Linked DNA regions of Lonchura striata. The protein of the gene in region 2 interacts with the protein of the main gene of each other region in a pairwise test. Links are inferred from orthologs where the notes say so. Each region holds a gene or a part of one and is shown on either strand. Other genes may lie near its edges.

Region 1 (7,328 bases), on a different chromosome or scaffold from region 2:
ATATCAAGACATTTGCCTTTCTTTAGAGCTTGTCAGAAACAGCTAATAAATAAAGTTCAGATTTTGGGAAGTCACCTCTTCAAACCTCTCTTCATATGTTGCTTTGAAACTGGATTTCCTTAGGGTCACTGAGTTGGCAGCTTTGAAGGGTTTGCTATGTGTTCCTTGGCTTGAATTTTTCTTAGGCATTACCTGGCACCAGAAGTACACAACGACTCTCCAGGTCCCAACAGCTACAAAAATTTACAGCAATATATTCCATTCCATTTCTGCTTGTTTTTTTTGCACTGCCACTTTTTATGAGCAGAACATAAATTACCTGAGTTTAATTCATGACCCAGAGTTCAGTGCATTTCCCCAGAAATAGCATTCTCTGTTTGGGGCACTACTGCCAAAATTGCATTCCTGGAGCTGAATTCCTATCCCATCCAAGACGTTTGTTCCAACCACATTTCCCATCATACTATTTTATACTATTTAGGTCATTTATATTTTCATGCTCCCACAGTTACTTCTTATAAGTTGCTTTGCAATTATGCTCTTAACTGTGTTCTCCAAAGTCACCTTCAGACCTTTAAACACCTTAAAATTAAAACACCAATTTGACTTTTGCCCAAATCGCATTTCATAGAGAAGTTGAACTAAACTACTTGCATTCCTTGGACAGAAGGAAGGACTGAAAGTTGCCCAACAAAGTATTACTTAGTCTAGCATTTAGTTGGCAGGGACCATGAGGAAAACCTGATGCTCTTTGCTTTAAATGTTGCTTTAATTAAACTTATTAATAGTTCTATCCTATGCAAGATGTTTATGCCTGAGCCCAGTTTAGTTGTAATTTTAGTTCTAACTAACCTAATTCTAGTTTTAACTTCATCACAGTAGTCTATAATGTCACAAGCAGCTTATGCACAGAGAAAGTACAAGATGTTTTGCAGAAGTTTTTACCTTGGAGCTTTTAAAAATTTCCTATTGCAGAAATACTAATTTAAAAGTACTGTTTTGCTCTTTCATGTTCCTTGTTTCTTCCTTACAAATCTCCTTCTTAGGACCATCATGTGCAATTCAAAGTACACCACAACCAGCATTGACAAATGATGAAATTCTTAATTTACTGATGAGACTTCTGGTGGACATCCCAGCTGTCAGCTCCAGCAGGTCAGTTCTGTCAGCTGCCATAAACCGCTGCACCAGTTCCATGCAGGATCCATCACCTAATCCACTATTTAGTGATCTGTGAGATCCAGCTCTAGAACAATTGAAGTATCCAGGCTGTACACTCTCATACACAGAGCGGAAGATTGGGAAAATGAGTACCAAAGCAATCAAGAAATAAAATATACTTAATAGGTGGCGATTACATTTTGTGAGTGTCTTTCCTACAGCATGGAAATGAAACACCCTCGTTTTTCACTCGGTCAGGCTGCAGGGAGACATCAGCTGCAGGGACAGCGATCATGCAGTGCCATCAACTGTTTGCTTCTGGTACCCACAGCAGCTGAGACCTACTACTTTCAACACAAATGACCAAAAACAAACAAACAAAAAAAAAATCACAAAAATTGAGCGACTCGTCAGGATGGCATTTCTGAACAAAGGTTTGTCCACTTGTTCTAGTACAAATCTCAGGTTCGTTTTTCCTGTACCAGAAGCCGCACACCTGAGGGCAGGTACAGAGACTGGAGCAGCTCGAGCTCTTGTGCCATCTGCTGGGAACAGCTTCTGACATTGCTGCTCGCACAGGAATAGAGCCAGCCCTCCCTGTTTGGCAACTGACATCTTTGTCAAAAAGCTTATTACACTTCTTTTACCTGCTATTGATGTTAAGTACTAACTTAGTGCAAGAGAAGTGGTTTGGAGATGGAAACTCGCTCTCTATAGTGAATCAGTTGCACAAGACAGGAACAAACTGTCCTTGCAGCCCTGCAGAGCCTCCTTTGAAGGATGAAGCCTGTGGTGTATCCAGGGTAGGGCTTTGGTCTCACAGTCCTTGTAAAGAACCACTCCTTCAGCAAAGGGACTCCACCTCAGCCATGAGCTGTATCCTCTTTCACACCAAATCCTGTGATTTCCTCCCTTCTGGATTTACGGTCTGTGAGGCTGTAGCTCAGTGTGAGCACTCTTAGGGCAGCTGCTCTGTGCTCCCCAGGGCAGTAACAGGTTAACGCTGACCAGCAGCTAAAGCCAAATTCCATTTAGACCTCACACTTACCTACCTGAAATGTGGCTCTTTGGAAAAACACACAACAGGACATTTTCTGCTGGAGAGCCAGGCAAGCTGGTCTCTCTGTTGTGCTTGTTTCCTCATGGATCCAGCCTGTCCCTGAGATAATGGCTGTTCTTGCACAGATTGGGTATCTCAGATTCTTTGAGCCAATGTGCACTTCCTCCTCTGAAGGGTGACACATTGAACCACTTGCTGCTGGTGCAAGCTTTTCCAGAGTTGAGGTTTGGTGTTGGTTCCAGCCTTCACCATCCCTGGAGGAACTGCAGGGTGCCCTGCTTATCTCTAGCACCAGACCAGGCACAGGACTGGGAAGCCCCCAGGGTAGGAAAAGCTCAAGGAGGAATATCTGTATCATTAACACATTTCTGTCTCGGTGGCCTCTGGCCCAGCAGGGACACAGCTGCAGGAGCTCTGTGACAGCAGAGGGTGATGCTTCACCTCTCTGACTACACAGTATAGAATTGCCCTACCTGGATGGTGTGGTGGAGATTGCATGGTCCAAAAATAGCAGTTGAGAAGGATTGAGTGCTGCATTTCAGCGGTGATGATGAGAATTTTGTGTGGACAAATTGGAGGAGCTGTATGAAAGGAGCTCAGTGCACCTCACTGGAAGAGGCATGAGCTGTGACAACACAGGTAGGAAGAGGAGAAGGGTGAAGAAGGCACAGTGGAAGTCCAAATGAACAGGTGTTGACAGCACACCTCTGCAAACTGAGTATGATACACAGATATGGAGGCAAGGAATGTCAAAACCAAGTAATTCTGCCATGAATCAGCACCTTCAAGGCCTCAGCAAGAACACTGGGAATGGCCCAAATGGAAACTGAGAAGATAAGGACTATGGAGAGGATCAGGGGTAAAAAACAAGTTTTGCCTCAAAAAGAAAAAAGAGAGTGATGACAGCAACTAATGGAGCTGAATCAGTGTTTGCAGCTTAAGATAACTCGTGGGTGCCAAGTAATTTTCCTTCTGAGTTTCCAAAGTAATTAACCTTTGGACTGAGATTAAGCAGGAAATTAATGAAGTCCTTCCATCACCAAAAAGGAATCTGACAGTGACTTTGATGGGCCCAGGACTGTATCTGAAAGTAGAAGAGAAAATTGGACTCCAGAATGCTGTAATTGAACCGAGTCCAAATAATAACACTTTGACAAGTGTTGCTGCCATAAATTTGAGATCTGGGTGCAGTGCAATTGAGTTGTGTGTCCTGTCACTTCTTATCCAAAAGGATTATACGGATTACAAAACTGAACTCTTTTACTTGGATTCCTTTTTGGACACCAAGCTAGACTTCTCCTCATGCCCCAAAAATGTTCTCTTTTGCCATTTCCTTAGAAAAATGCAGTTTGTAAGTTGCATGAATCTTATCTAGCCAGTATGGATCTTGATTTTTCAGTGAAAACTGAAGTTGTAGGGAAGAGCTGCTACTAAAACAGCATTTAAAGGTGATTTTGCAATTCAAAGCATTTGTCAGGTTTTATTTCTGAGGGTGCAGAGAATAACCACACTGCCTGTTTTCCGAGATGTCCGATATATATCCCTTCGGAACGGTCTGCTCAGGGAGGCGGCAGAGTCACTGTCCCCGGTGGTGTGTAAGACCGGGTGCAGCGCCATGCTCTAAGCGGGGTGGAAGCGTTCAGTCATAGATCGGTGATTTTAGACGGCTTTATCCAACCTAATCAATTCTGTGATTCTATCACTTCTACTGTGAGGTCCAGCCAAAGAACAGCAGTGCGAAACGACAAGAAAACCAGAAACCGTTCCTTTTGTTGCCGGAGAAGCTGCTGCACTTGCAGGCCGCAGCACCCCTCCCCTGGACCCCCACCGGGGAGCTCCGCGGAGACAAAGAGCGCGCAGCGCGGCGGCTGCGGGGTGTGAGCGCAGCACGGGCCGTGTCTCGGGGGCTCTCCCCGCTCGGGGCGCGCTCGCACGGCAGCGCCGGGCCCCGCTCGGCCCCGCTCAGCCCGGCGCAGCCCCGGGGCCGGGCCGGGCCGGGCCCCGTCGCCATGGCGACCGTCCCGCCGGGGCGGCGCGCGGGCGGTGGCGCCCCCTGGCGCCGGAAGGGGCGTGCCGCGCGGCGGAAGCGGGCCGAGCGCCGCAGGGTGTGTGCGCGTGTCCGTGGAGCGGCCGCCGCTGCCGTCGCCTCCCTCCGCCCGTGGGATCCGCGCGCGCCGCCAGGTGAGGGCCGCGGCCGGGGCGGGCATCGGCGTGGGGGGATCGGCACCGCGACCCCGGGGCAGCCCGCCCCGGCCTGCCCCCGCTCCGCTCCGCTCCGCTCCGCCCCGCGCGGGCAGCCGCAGGCCGCGGCGGGCGCGCCGTGCGGGGGTCTCCGCGGGAGGGTCCCCGGTTCTGCCTCCCCGCTCCTGCGTCCCCCGGCCCGGGTAACGGCGTGACCCTCGCCCGGCGGGCGCGGGCGGGCGGCGCCGCCCCTCCCCGGGCGGCCGCGCCGCCCCGCCCCGGTGAGTCACTGGCGGCCCGGGGCGCGGCCGCGCTCACCTGGGCCCGCCCGGCGGGACGGGCCCGCGGCGAGCCCCGCCGGGAGCGGCGCTGCCCGAGCCAGCGGCGCTGCCCGGGGCCAGCCCGCACCGCCGGGCCGGCCTCCGGCCGCCCAGCGCCGGCAGCTCCGTGCCCAGCCGGAGAGCGCAGCTGCCGTGCCCGTGCCCGCGGCTCTGAGCCGGCCCGCGTAGGTGGTCGTGGCCGTGTAGGAGCGCTTTAGAAGGGAATAAAACCCGTTTATTATTTTCCAGTTTTGATCATTCGTGTCCATTTGGGAATAGAGATGCGTTTAGGGAGGACTCCACAGGGAAAGAAGGTTGGTTCAGTCCCAGCGTACAGAAAGGCTGGGCAGTAGCCCAGATCTAACGGGTTTGGGTTTTGTTTGAGGTATGTATAACCAGGTATTAATTGGGATGTTAAAATAACAGTGACATGCAATCACTGTATTGGCATCAATGCATCTCATGCAAAGAACACAATATAAATTGGTTGCTTTCAGATAGATTCCTTATTAATAGTTAAAACACATTTTCCACTGATAGGAGAACAAAAGACACATCATACAGCACCATAAAAGCTAAATTCCCATGGAAGAACATCAGAGGCTTTGGCGGTGTTTGTAATGTTTAGTATCTTCAGTGGCTGTAGGAATATTTGTGTATTCACATGTTCACTAACTCAGGACACCTCAGTCAGAAATTGTAACACTTTTAATATGAAAAAAGATGAGCTTATTTTAATTTTAAAGCAATAATGAGATAAAATCTGGTCTAGAAAAGAAAACAAGAACACAAGTGCCTTTTTCTCCCTTCATATTAAAGGACTGCAGAAATATCCCTTGTATCATATTTTGTTTATTAAATTGGTACCAATAAAGTGATAGACTCCTTGCACAGATGGGCCTGGTGCAGTTTTCTCAACCTCATTATGTCAGTACCGCATGTTCTGATCTCCGCTATTTTGATGTTGAGTCGTTTTATTTTTTCCCGAGCAGGCCTGTGCCAGTATGCAGCTTTTTGTGATGCATGTGAATAAACTCGGATGAGGAGGAGCTCACTAAATAATTATTTGGTTAATGAGGTAAAAGCTCCTACTCTGATCCGTGTGGTATCCTAATACCAGGCATTACAGTAGTGTGTCTATTATATGGCCACATTCCTTGCCCCACCCTGTAATACAAATACTGTCAGTTTATTATTAACAAAAGTGATTTACCTGTGATATGAATACATTATTTTGGCGTGAACTTTATGCCCGGGGGAAGATTTTTTGGGTATAGTCACAATTTCCACCTGGATTTGAGCCAAAAACAGTTCTGCTGGTTGGAACAAAAAGGTGTTGCCATGTGGGGATGTTGTGCTGTGGAAGTGCCAGCATGTCTCCACCTGCAGCTGTACTGAGCAAAGGGCCATAGGCAGGAGCAGAGCTCTGCTTTTCAGCCTGGCATTAGGAAGAACAAGGCTGCTTTCACTAAATTTAAGATGTCTGTACAATATCAGTGTCCCCACGTGCTGTTGGTAGTGGTCATAGGCATTTTGTAATACTCTATGGAGAGTGAATGCCATTGAATGTCATTTTATTCAATTTTACGAAGCAACAAGTAATGATGGCAGCAGATGGCCGGAGCAGGGTGAGGCATGGCTTTATAGAATGTTAATTTTATCTCAGCATTTGCATAGAGACTTGAGCCGAAGGCCAGAGTAGATGCAGAGGAGGCTGAAGTTATGTGCTGCACAAGGTCAGCAAGAATATCACAGCTGTGAAGTCATGTTCCTTCATTATGTTTGCAGGATATTTTACTGAACTTGTTATACCCAAGCTTCTGATGGGAAGATTTTGCTGTTCAGATCTTAACAGAGCTATTCATTTTCAAACATCCCATGGTAGCCTTTGAGGAAACCATCTAGAGAAACACAACTAATAAAATCAAATGCATAATGCTACAGGAAAGCAAGGAAGGTTCCTTACACTCAACTGAAAGAGCTGCACTCCGTTTCCTGTAAAAAAATAAATGTTGGAAGCACTGTCCAGTTGACAGGGAATGCCATCCCCATCATGCAGATACTCGTGTTAGCATGTGTGTACCTGAATGGTGGAGAATGATTTTCTGTTTATTTTAGAAATAATGTCCCCAGAGCTCTTACTCTCTGTAGTTACAGAACTGTAATTTGAGGTACCACTCACCTCACGTGAATGTTTATTTTCAGAATGAATTGCCTGTCCAGAAATCAAATAAGGTGTGTTCACATATTGTTGGAATATTGAACTGCAAATTCTGTACCAGTCTGCTGCTTTTTCTGGTAGAATTTGAGTGGACTTAGAGAGCTTATGACTGGGAAGTATGATTCCCTCCCATTTCACCAAACCTTGTTTTGTATTCTTGTCTCACAGTGAAATATGCAAGTCTGTTAACTTGCAGCTCTGCTCAACATGTTAGTGACCAGTATGTCAAACCAATAACTACACTGCTTTCTCACCAGTTCTTTTCTACAAAGTGGAAGTGTTTGTCTGATAGATTCTCATGCTTGCTGTAGAGAGAAAAACAGTGCACAAAAATCGATGACTTAATTAGCATCAGAAGAACAGGTCATCAAGAGCAGCAGACTTC
Region 2 (7,725 bases):
TTTTGGAGTGTTTGGGCTTAACATATATCTTCCAGGAATCTGTGAAGAAAGAGGGCTAAATGAAAGGGAAATTGTTCCTTAGAAGTGGTTATTTACATGTCCGCTTTTTTGGAAAAAGGAACTCCTTGTAAAAAAGTGAGAATTTGTTTTTATTAAGTTTTACTTATTTCACAAGTGTAATTTCACAAGTTTTTCCTTAAGTTCAGAATAGTACTATTGAATTGTTTTTGAGTGAATACATGTTTGTTCGATTATGACCTAATTTCATTGGGTTTGGGGTTTGGGTTCTTTTGGTTAGTTGATTGGTTCTTCCCCAACAGGCTCAAGATGGCATTGTTGTCCTATAAATTTGTCCCTTTTGGCTAGAAATACGAGCACATAATAATGACTGCATTTATCTGATGTGAATCCCCTGGAGAATTAGAAAAAACAAGGAACTGGAAGGATAAGCAATCAGCATAAGTCTCCTTACACAATACACAGAGGGAAGATGTTATGCTGTTTAATCTAAGGTGACTTTACTTATACTCCAGTCTTTACTGGAATATAAGGAGCTTGGAAGTGCATCTTGAAAGCAGGGAAAGGCTAAAGAGAGGGGAGAATGCCTGAAAGCAAAATATCACGGTGCAAGAAATTTAATATGAACTTAACTCTTGAATTTTTTTAGGACAAAGCTGGGACAAAGAAGGGGGAAAATAGCAGGTTATGTTTACTGATCATGTGGCCTTTTACTTCCATGAAACTGTTGGGGTGGGATGGGGGAAGCCAACATAATTTCTTGTAATTCAGCATGACTTCATTCTCTAGACCCATGTGTTAGAAGGCTTTAACAGCACTGAGACAATCCGATGTTCTTCTGGTGCAAGATTTGGAAAGACCTATGGAATTCCATGGAGTTATTTGCATGAGATCAACCCTCCTTTCCTGTGGCGTGTTTCCAAGTATTTGTGTATGTAAATCTTCATGTTTGCTTGCAAGTACCTCAAACCTCTCTATTTAGCTCAAAATTCAGAAACTGTGAAACAATGTACCAGTGTCTTATTGATTTACTTAATGCTTTTCAATGTTGTGACCAGAAGAACAAAATCTTCATGCCTCAGGGATTTTTTTTCTATTAAGAAAGCTGTCAGCTTCCCCCTGTCCCCTGAGGTGCGTTCATAATAGAGATGGTATTGTTTCTGGATTATAAAAACAACAGAACAGTCTCAGCTGAAAAAATGAGCACTTAAAACCAATAGTAAGTAGGGAAAAAACCTGTAGTATGTGTGTAACAACAAGAGTGTTACTGACAAACCTTAGCCTTTAATATCACGTTCTTTTTTTTTCCCCCCAAATCATTCATAAAACAGTAGTCCTGAATGTTTTTGAGTATGAAAGAGAATTATCTCCAAATCAAAATAAAATCATCTGGTTTATAAATCAATGATAGAAGCTATTGAAACCAACTAACAATCCATTATTAGAATGCACTTCAATTATTTTTCGAACTACACTGATGTAAGAATTTCTTCATTGCCATTTATACAGATGGAGAATACTTGTTTACAAGTTACTAAAATATGACAACAAAAGTAATAATTTTCTATGGTTTACAGTTTAGCATTATATGAATTTAACATGGGACTTATCTTCAGTTTAGTTAGTATAGGTTTTCAGAAACACTTCTCTTTAGGAAGTGAAATTCTAATTATTGGAAAGCATCTTTAAGCTGAAGATTTGATTTTAATTACTCACTTCGCTTATTTGGTGATGATTATGTCTCTTCTGAATGAATTAATGAAATATTCTTTTTTATTTCATAATTGCTGTTGTGGTGTAACTTAAGTTTTGCACATGACATGTAGGTAACTTTTTTCCATGATCCAATTGTGTCCAAAACACCAGAATTCTTTCCAGGCATAGGAAGCTGACTGTTAAATGTGATGTGTTACTTCCAGCATCTCCAAACCACTGACTGTTTTTGTGTGAGCTGTTTTCCTGGACATTCTAGCATTGTAATTCCTAAAATAAAAGCAAAACACTGCCACATATCTCAACCACATGTATTACTGTCTAATGTGATTTATTTACCATGTCTATCATGGTAGCTGGGATTGAAAAAGAAATAAAAAAAAAGAAAATTGTAATTAAAATAAATTTCCAGTTTCTTGAAGCAGGAAATGTCTCCTACATAGTGTAAGCTTTTTACCAGTGTAAGACAGTGGAATCCAGGAAAAAATGCCCCAGTTCTGCTGTACTGGCTCAACTGATACCTTATCTCATGGTCTGGATCTAGACTTTGGCATAAATTTCCATGTGAAAAGACAGAATTATCGGGATGGGCTGTTTTTCATTAGTACATTTACTGTAATTTTATAGCATGAGTTGAAGGACAGAGCCCCCAAATGCTCTCCAAAAGGGCTTCAAATTAAATGACCTTAAAACATTCAACTGTGCTGTGACATATTGCAGATGATCCGAGCATATGCCAAACCATGTGGGCCAGCAGTGTCACGTACCAATTACCTACTGAATTGTTCATGGAAATGCAGAAATGCTGGCCAAAGTGGGACTTCAGGTTAGGGTGAAAAAATACTCTTGACATGCTTATCTTAAAAGCATTAAATCAAGAGGTAACTTAAGAAACAACATTAAAGCATGTTTCTTTTCTTTCCTTTTTCTTCTGGAGGCTGGGATTAATTAGTTGTCATCCCCTAAATTTCAGATCTTCTTTTAGGTATGCACTGTTAATTGGAACTTCATTTTTCTTTGAAGTAACGCTGACTTTACAAAAACACTTCTCTAATCCTGCCTTGCTTTTTCTTGCCCCTTACCTCGTTTACACCTCTTTACTTTTGTCAGAGTGTGTGTTTGTGGGACAGATCAGTGACGTGATACCTGCAAAACCATGGATCAGTCAGTTTGGGCTGGCAGAACCTACTGATAGAAAATGCTGATACCCGGAATTACCTCCCAGTTAGCTCACAGCTAATGAGCCTCAGCGCTGGAGCTCGGGACAGGGAGAACAAAGAGCGCCGAGCTTGCGGGCAGGCACGGCCTTGGCGCTCCTGCCCGTGAGTCAGCAGCCCGCAGGGACTGGCACATCGCATGGAAAGCTTCAAAACAGCCTCGCAAGGTGGCTTGGTTAATCTTTGATAAGACCTTATGCTCTTTTTACTCACATTTATTTCAAAGTGTGGAGTGGCACATGCACAGAGTGTGCAGCATTCCAACTCTGCTGTCATCTCTTATCGTGTATCATTTGCTAAATAAAAAATTCATGATTATCCACATGTTCCAGAGAAACGTTTCTGCAAGCTTTATCATAGAATTATCAGAAATTCTGGTCTTACCTTAAAAGCTCACATTTTGTAGCACTTCTATAATGAAATAAGGTTTTGTTCAAGTTGAATTGCTTTCAGGGCTAAGGATAGGTTTCCTTTCAGAGGACTGTTTCAAATAGTTTCTTTTATTAACATACTAATAAAATTAACTGGCAGAGAGAATGCTGTTCTAGTGAGTATTTGGCAAGAATGTTATCTATGACTTCTTTTGCCCTGAATTTTCAGAGACATGAGCTTTGCTTCATTTCTTCATGTCTGCTAACAATAACCAAGCTGAGTTACTGGAAATTTATTTTCTTAGAATTCCTGAGTTGTTCTCCATTTTTACTGCTGGAACCGGTTTTGTGTGTGTGAGATAAATTGAATTGCCAGTTCTCATCAGCTGTAATTTAATGTCTGTATTAACAAGTAGATATATTAAAATCAGTGGTTGCAATTGGAAACTTAACAGAACTGTCGATTTTTTCTGTTTACTAATGGAATCAATGACTTGAATATTCAATACTGTCGCTCTTGTATCCTGTATGTGCGCACACTAAGTATGCTCTGATAAAGCAGATCCACACTCAGGAACGCAGCGCTGAAAGGCCAGCACGTGCGCTGCCGAGTTTTAAGTGTCCTGTTCCTGTAAGAGTCTCTGCAGCCTAAAATAAAACCGGAGTGCCGGCAGCGCCTTTGGCCGCCACTTGTGCCGCGGGGGCTGGCGCGTTACCTGCTGCGCACCCGCCACGTGCGGCCGCACAGCGCCTGCTCTCGCTTTGCGGTGCCGCTGGGAGCGCGGCTCCCCGCGGGGCAGTGCCAGGGGCTGCCGGCGGCTCCCCGGGCCGCTGCCAGGGCCGCTCCCCGCCCGCGGCACCCCCGGTCCCGCCCGGTCCCGCCCGGCCCCGCCCGGAGCCGAGCGCGGCCCCGCCGCCTCCCGGGCGCCACCGCCGCTGCCGACAGGGGGCGCCGCAAGAGCCGCGCTCGGCCGCTCCGGCACGCGGCGAGGGGCGGAGCTCCCTTCTGATTGGCCAGAGCTCCTGTCGCTCTGGCCGCTGCCCCGCCCCGCCGCGGCCCGCGTGTCCCCGTGTGCTCCGACGTAATGGGGCGCGTGACGCCAGGCCGGGGTTGCCATGTGCGCACGCGCGGCCGAGCCCCGGCCCGCGGCCCCGCTCCGGGGGGGCGGGGCGGCCCCGGGGGCGGGGCCCGCGCGCGGGGGCCGGCGGGACGGATCCAAGATGGCGGCGGGGCGGACGGGAGGCGGCCGCGGCCCCGAGCGGCGCCCGCCCCATTCATCGCGGCTGTGACGGGCCCGGGCCCGCCAGAGCGCCGGCACAGCGCCGGGAGCGAGCCCGGGGCAGCGGCAGCGGGACAGCACTCGGACCCGCCAGGCGCCCGTGACAGGGCGGGTCGGAGCGCGGGCCGGTGCCGCCGGCGCGGGCGGAGCGGACATGGCCACCATGGAGAAGCTGACGAAGGCCTTCGAGTCGCTGCGCTCCTTCCAGCAGCAGCAGGGCCCCGCCGCCCTCCCCGAGGAGCCGCTGCAGAGACCGTGAGTGCCCCGCGCCGGGACCCGCGGCTCCCGACACGCGTGTCCCGCGTCCCGCCCGGCCCGGCCCGGCCCGGCCCCGTTCCCCGGCAGCGGCGGCTCCCGCGGCCGTGCCGCGCTGCCGCTGGCGGCTCTCTGCCCCGCTTCACACGCGGAGTAACTTTTGGGCCAAGTGCGTTTGAAAAGTCACCCGTGCGGGAAATGGCCGGGAGGTACAGCAACGCTGTGCGGCTTTCACAGGCTGGTTCTAGGAAGGAAAGCCTTTTTTTCACTTAGTACACTGCTGCAAAAAAGACCAAAACCCTTAAGCATAACTTGAATAAAGCACTACTTTGAGCATTTTCTCTTGTGATAACTGCTGAAGCGCTTTTTGTGAGACCTTGTTTTTCTGTGCTTGACGCTTTCTGCATGAGTGTCCTTTTTCTGAACTATCTGCAGCCGATTGTACCGCTTTCCTGAAATGAGGGTTCAAGGCTGAGCAAGAGAAATTTCTTCCACTCTCTTATTCACTTTTCATATCTTTACCTAAAGTTCATGTTGAAGTTAAGAAATGTTTTGATGTTTGTAAACTGCAAATTTGAAGAGTTTTAGTCTGAGCTCTGATGCTTTCAGAAGGAGATGTTGTGAATGTCTGTGACAAAGTTAACGTCTTGTGTGCTGCATAGGGACCTAAGAGAAGATGGTTTAAACATTCCTAATTCTTAAGTGTAAGGGATAAACGTGTTAGATCCATGAGATATCCAGGTTTCCATGGGGGGCATTGCTGGGTGCCCCAGGGCAAGGAGCTGTTCAGTACCGCGGTGCTGCCCCTTGCGTTTGCACCCCCTAACACCAGCCTTTGCTGAGCGGGTGTGGGGGCAGGAAGGTTTTTAGGGATAAAGACATGAGTCACACAGGTACTTTTTCTCCTGCTGTTGAGGAGAAGGTGGAAGCAGAAGGATTGAGGAGCAGGTAATTTCTAACTTGGCAATTTGTGGTGCTGGCAGGGGAAGTGGAGCAGTGGCTCTGGGCTCCTGGCCACCCGTTCCCACTGCACTTTCTGATACAGTTGCCAACTAAATTATCACGGTTGGTGTTGTTTCTCTCTGGAGAATGTTGTCTCAAACAATCACAATGCATTTCCACACTTCTGATGTTTAATAGGTGAGAAAACTCATCTTCTTCATGAGCTCGTTGTTCTTAGGTGCCTTATTGGTCTGCAGGGACTAATTTCTCTGCTGTGTGCATTTCTTTTTGCTAGTACTTTGTGTGACATGGATGAACATCTATTTCCAGTCTTTTCTGTGTGCTATTCAAATTTCTGTCTTGTTACTGGTGAGAGAGGTCATGGTATTGCAGGAGAAAATCCTTAGAATTATTTGTGATGCTTGTGATATTGTGCTTGGTTTGATGGTCTAAATTTAGGTATGTTCTGCTGTAAACATTAAAAAATTAGTGTTGGAGTTGTCCTCCTTGACTTTGCTTTGTGTTTAAAAATAGGCTGTTTTAAAAAGCTGATGGGATTGTATGCCCCCAGGAACTGGACAAATTCTGTGACAGCACTGAGCCTCATAAAAGCCAGTGAAAAGCTATTGTGGCAGCCTTTGCTGAGGCCTCTCAGACTTTTAGTGAAATAGCAGGTGACATATTGAATGTAATTCACAATACTATCTGCATTTGTTTTTTCTTGTTTGTAGTAGACTGAAAAGGAAAATTGTGTTTGGGGAGAAGTGTTCATCTTTGTTGTAGTTCTGTGTAAATAACACATACACATCTTGTAGTTCTGTGTAGTAAGTTCCTATCATCCTACTGAGGACTGTCTCCTGTTATGAAATGTTTTAAGATCAGAGAGATTGGGGTAGAGAAGAATTAATTGTTTACCCAGCAGGTATTTATATCTTTCTTCACTTTATTGTAAGACAATGACTCCAGAACTTTTGATAATACCATTATCCTGTCTTTTTTTATTAAAATATTTATTAAATCCAAGCTTTTACCAAGAAGATAAGATCTTTTTCTGTTTCAAGAGATGCTAATCAGCAATAATCATGTGTTATACCATGCAGTCAGATGTTAGTCTCTGGTCCCCTCTTTCTTATCTCTTGTTGGGGTTTTTTTCCCATCTATGTAAAATTGAGTTCTCCTATCATATTGCTTCTATGCACTTCTGCTTAGGCAACTAATTTTCTTCCTTATATTTTTTCAGCTTTTTCAGACTGACATTTTGTTAGAAATTGGATGTTTTGTTTTGGATCACAAAGCTCCCACTAACTTAGTTTACTAGTATGATGTAAAAATTTAGAGTTTGATTTGTGAATCCAAAAATGGATTTCTTACATTTTCTCTTGTCAATTTATTGTAGTAGTCACTTACTGTAATTGTTTTCAAGTTTTTTACATTTGATTCCAACCATTACCTTTACAGAAAAGGTACTGTAAAAGCCCAAGCAATATGGTTTTTTTTCTATACTTTTCAATTTTTCCGTGTCTTTTATGTTTGACTGAAGCTGTAGATTGGTTTGGTCAGTGCTATATGGCGGCCTAGCATTAATGTTTTGTTTTACTGAAGATCACACAAACTGCATGGGTATTACCTATGGGCCTGCTTGTCAGAAGCGGTTCCTTGATGGTTTTTTACCATGTCTAGGGTATGTAGTACATCAGTTCTGGTTAATTTGACAATCCATCATTGCCTGCATTAATGCACCTTGTTTCTGGGTGTCCCCTGTGTTTGGACTGAGTTTATTTCTTGATCTGATCCACTCATATTTCTGTTTGTTATTAAAATAATAGTTTTTAGTTTCTGTTATTTTTGTCAAGATCAATGTCAAGCCATTTGGTTTGGCCCTTTTTTCTTATCACTGGCTCAGCTTTAGAACTTCTGTACTCTTCACAT

The links.
Region 1: the proteins of HTT (region 2) and YWHAB interact in binary tests that used the Homo sapiens proteins (3 or more experiments, as listed by UniProt). The link is inferred for Lonchura striata from reciprocal best matches to the Homo sapiens genes HTT and YWHAB.

What each region holds. Positions count from the first base shown.
Region 1 is NC_134619.1:9,245,993-9,253,320, forward strand, and holds the start of YWHAB (14-3-3 protein beta/alpha), read left to right. Parts: upstream 1-4,287; 5' UTR 4,288-4,402; intron 4,403-7,328. UniProt on the Homo sapiens protein: Adapter protein implicated in the regulation of a large spectrum of both general and specialized signaling pathways. Binds to a large number of partners, usually by recognition of a phosphoserine or phosphothreonine motif.
Region 2 is NC_134606.1:9,474,151-9,481,875, forward strand, and holds the start of HTT (huntingtin), read left to right. Parts: upstream 1-4,652; 5' UTR 4,653-4,753; coding exon 4,754-4,854; intron 4,855-7,725.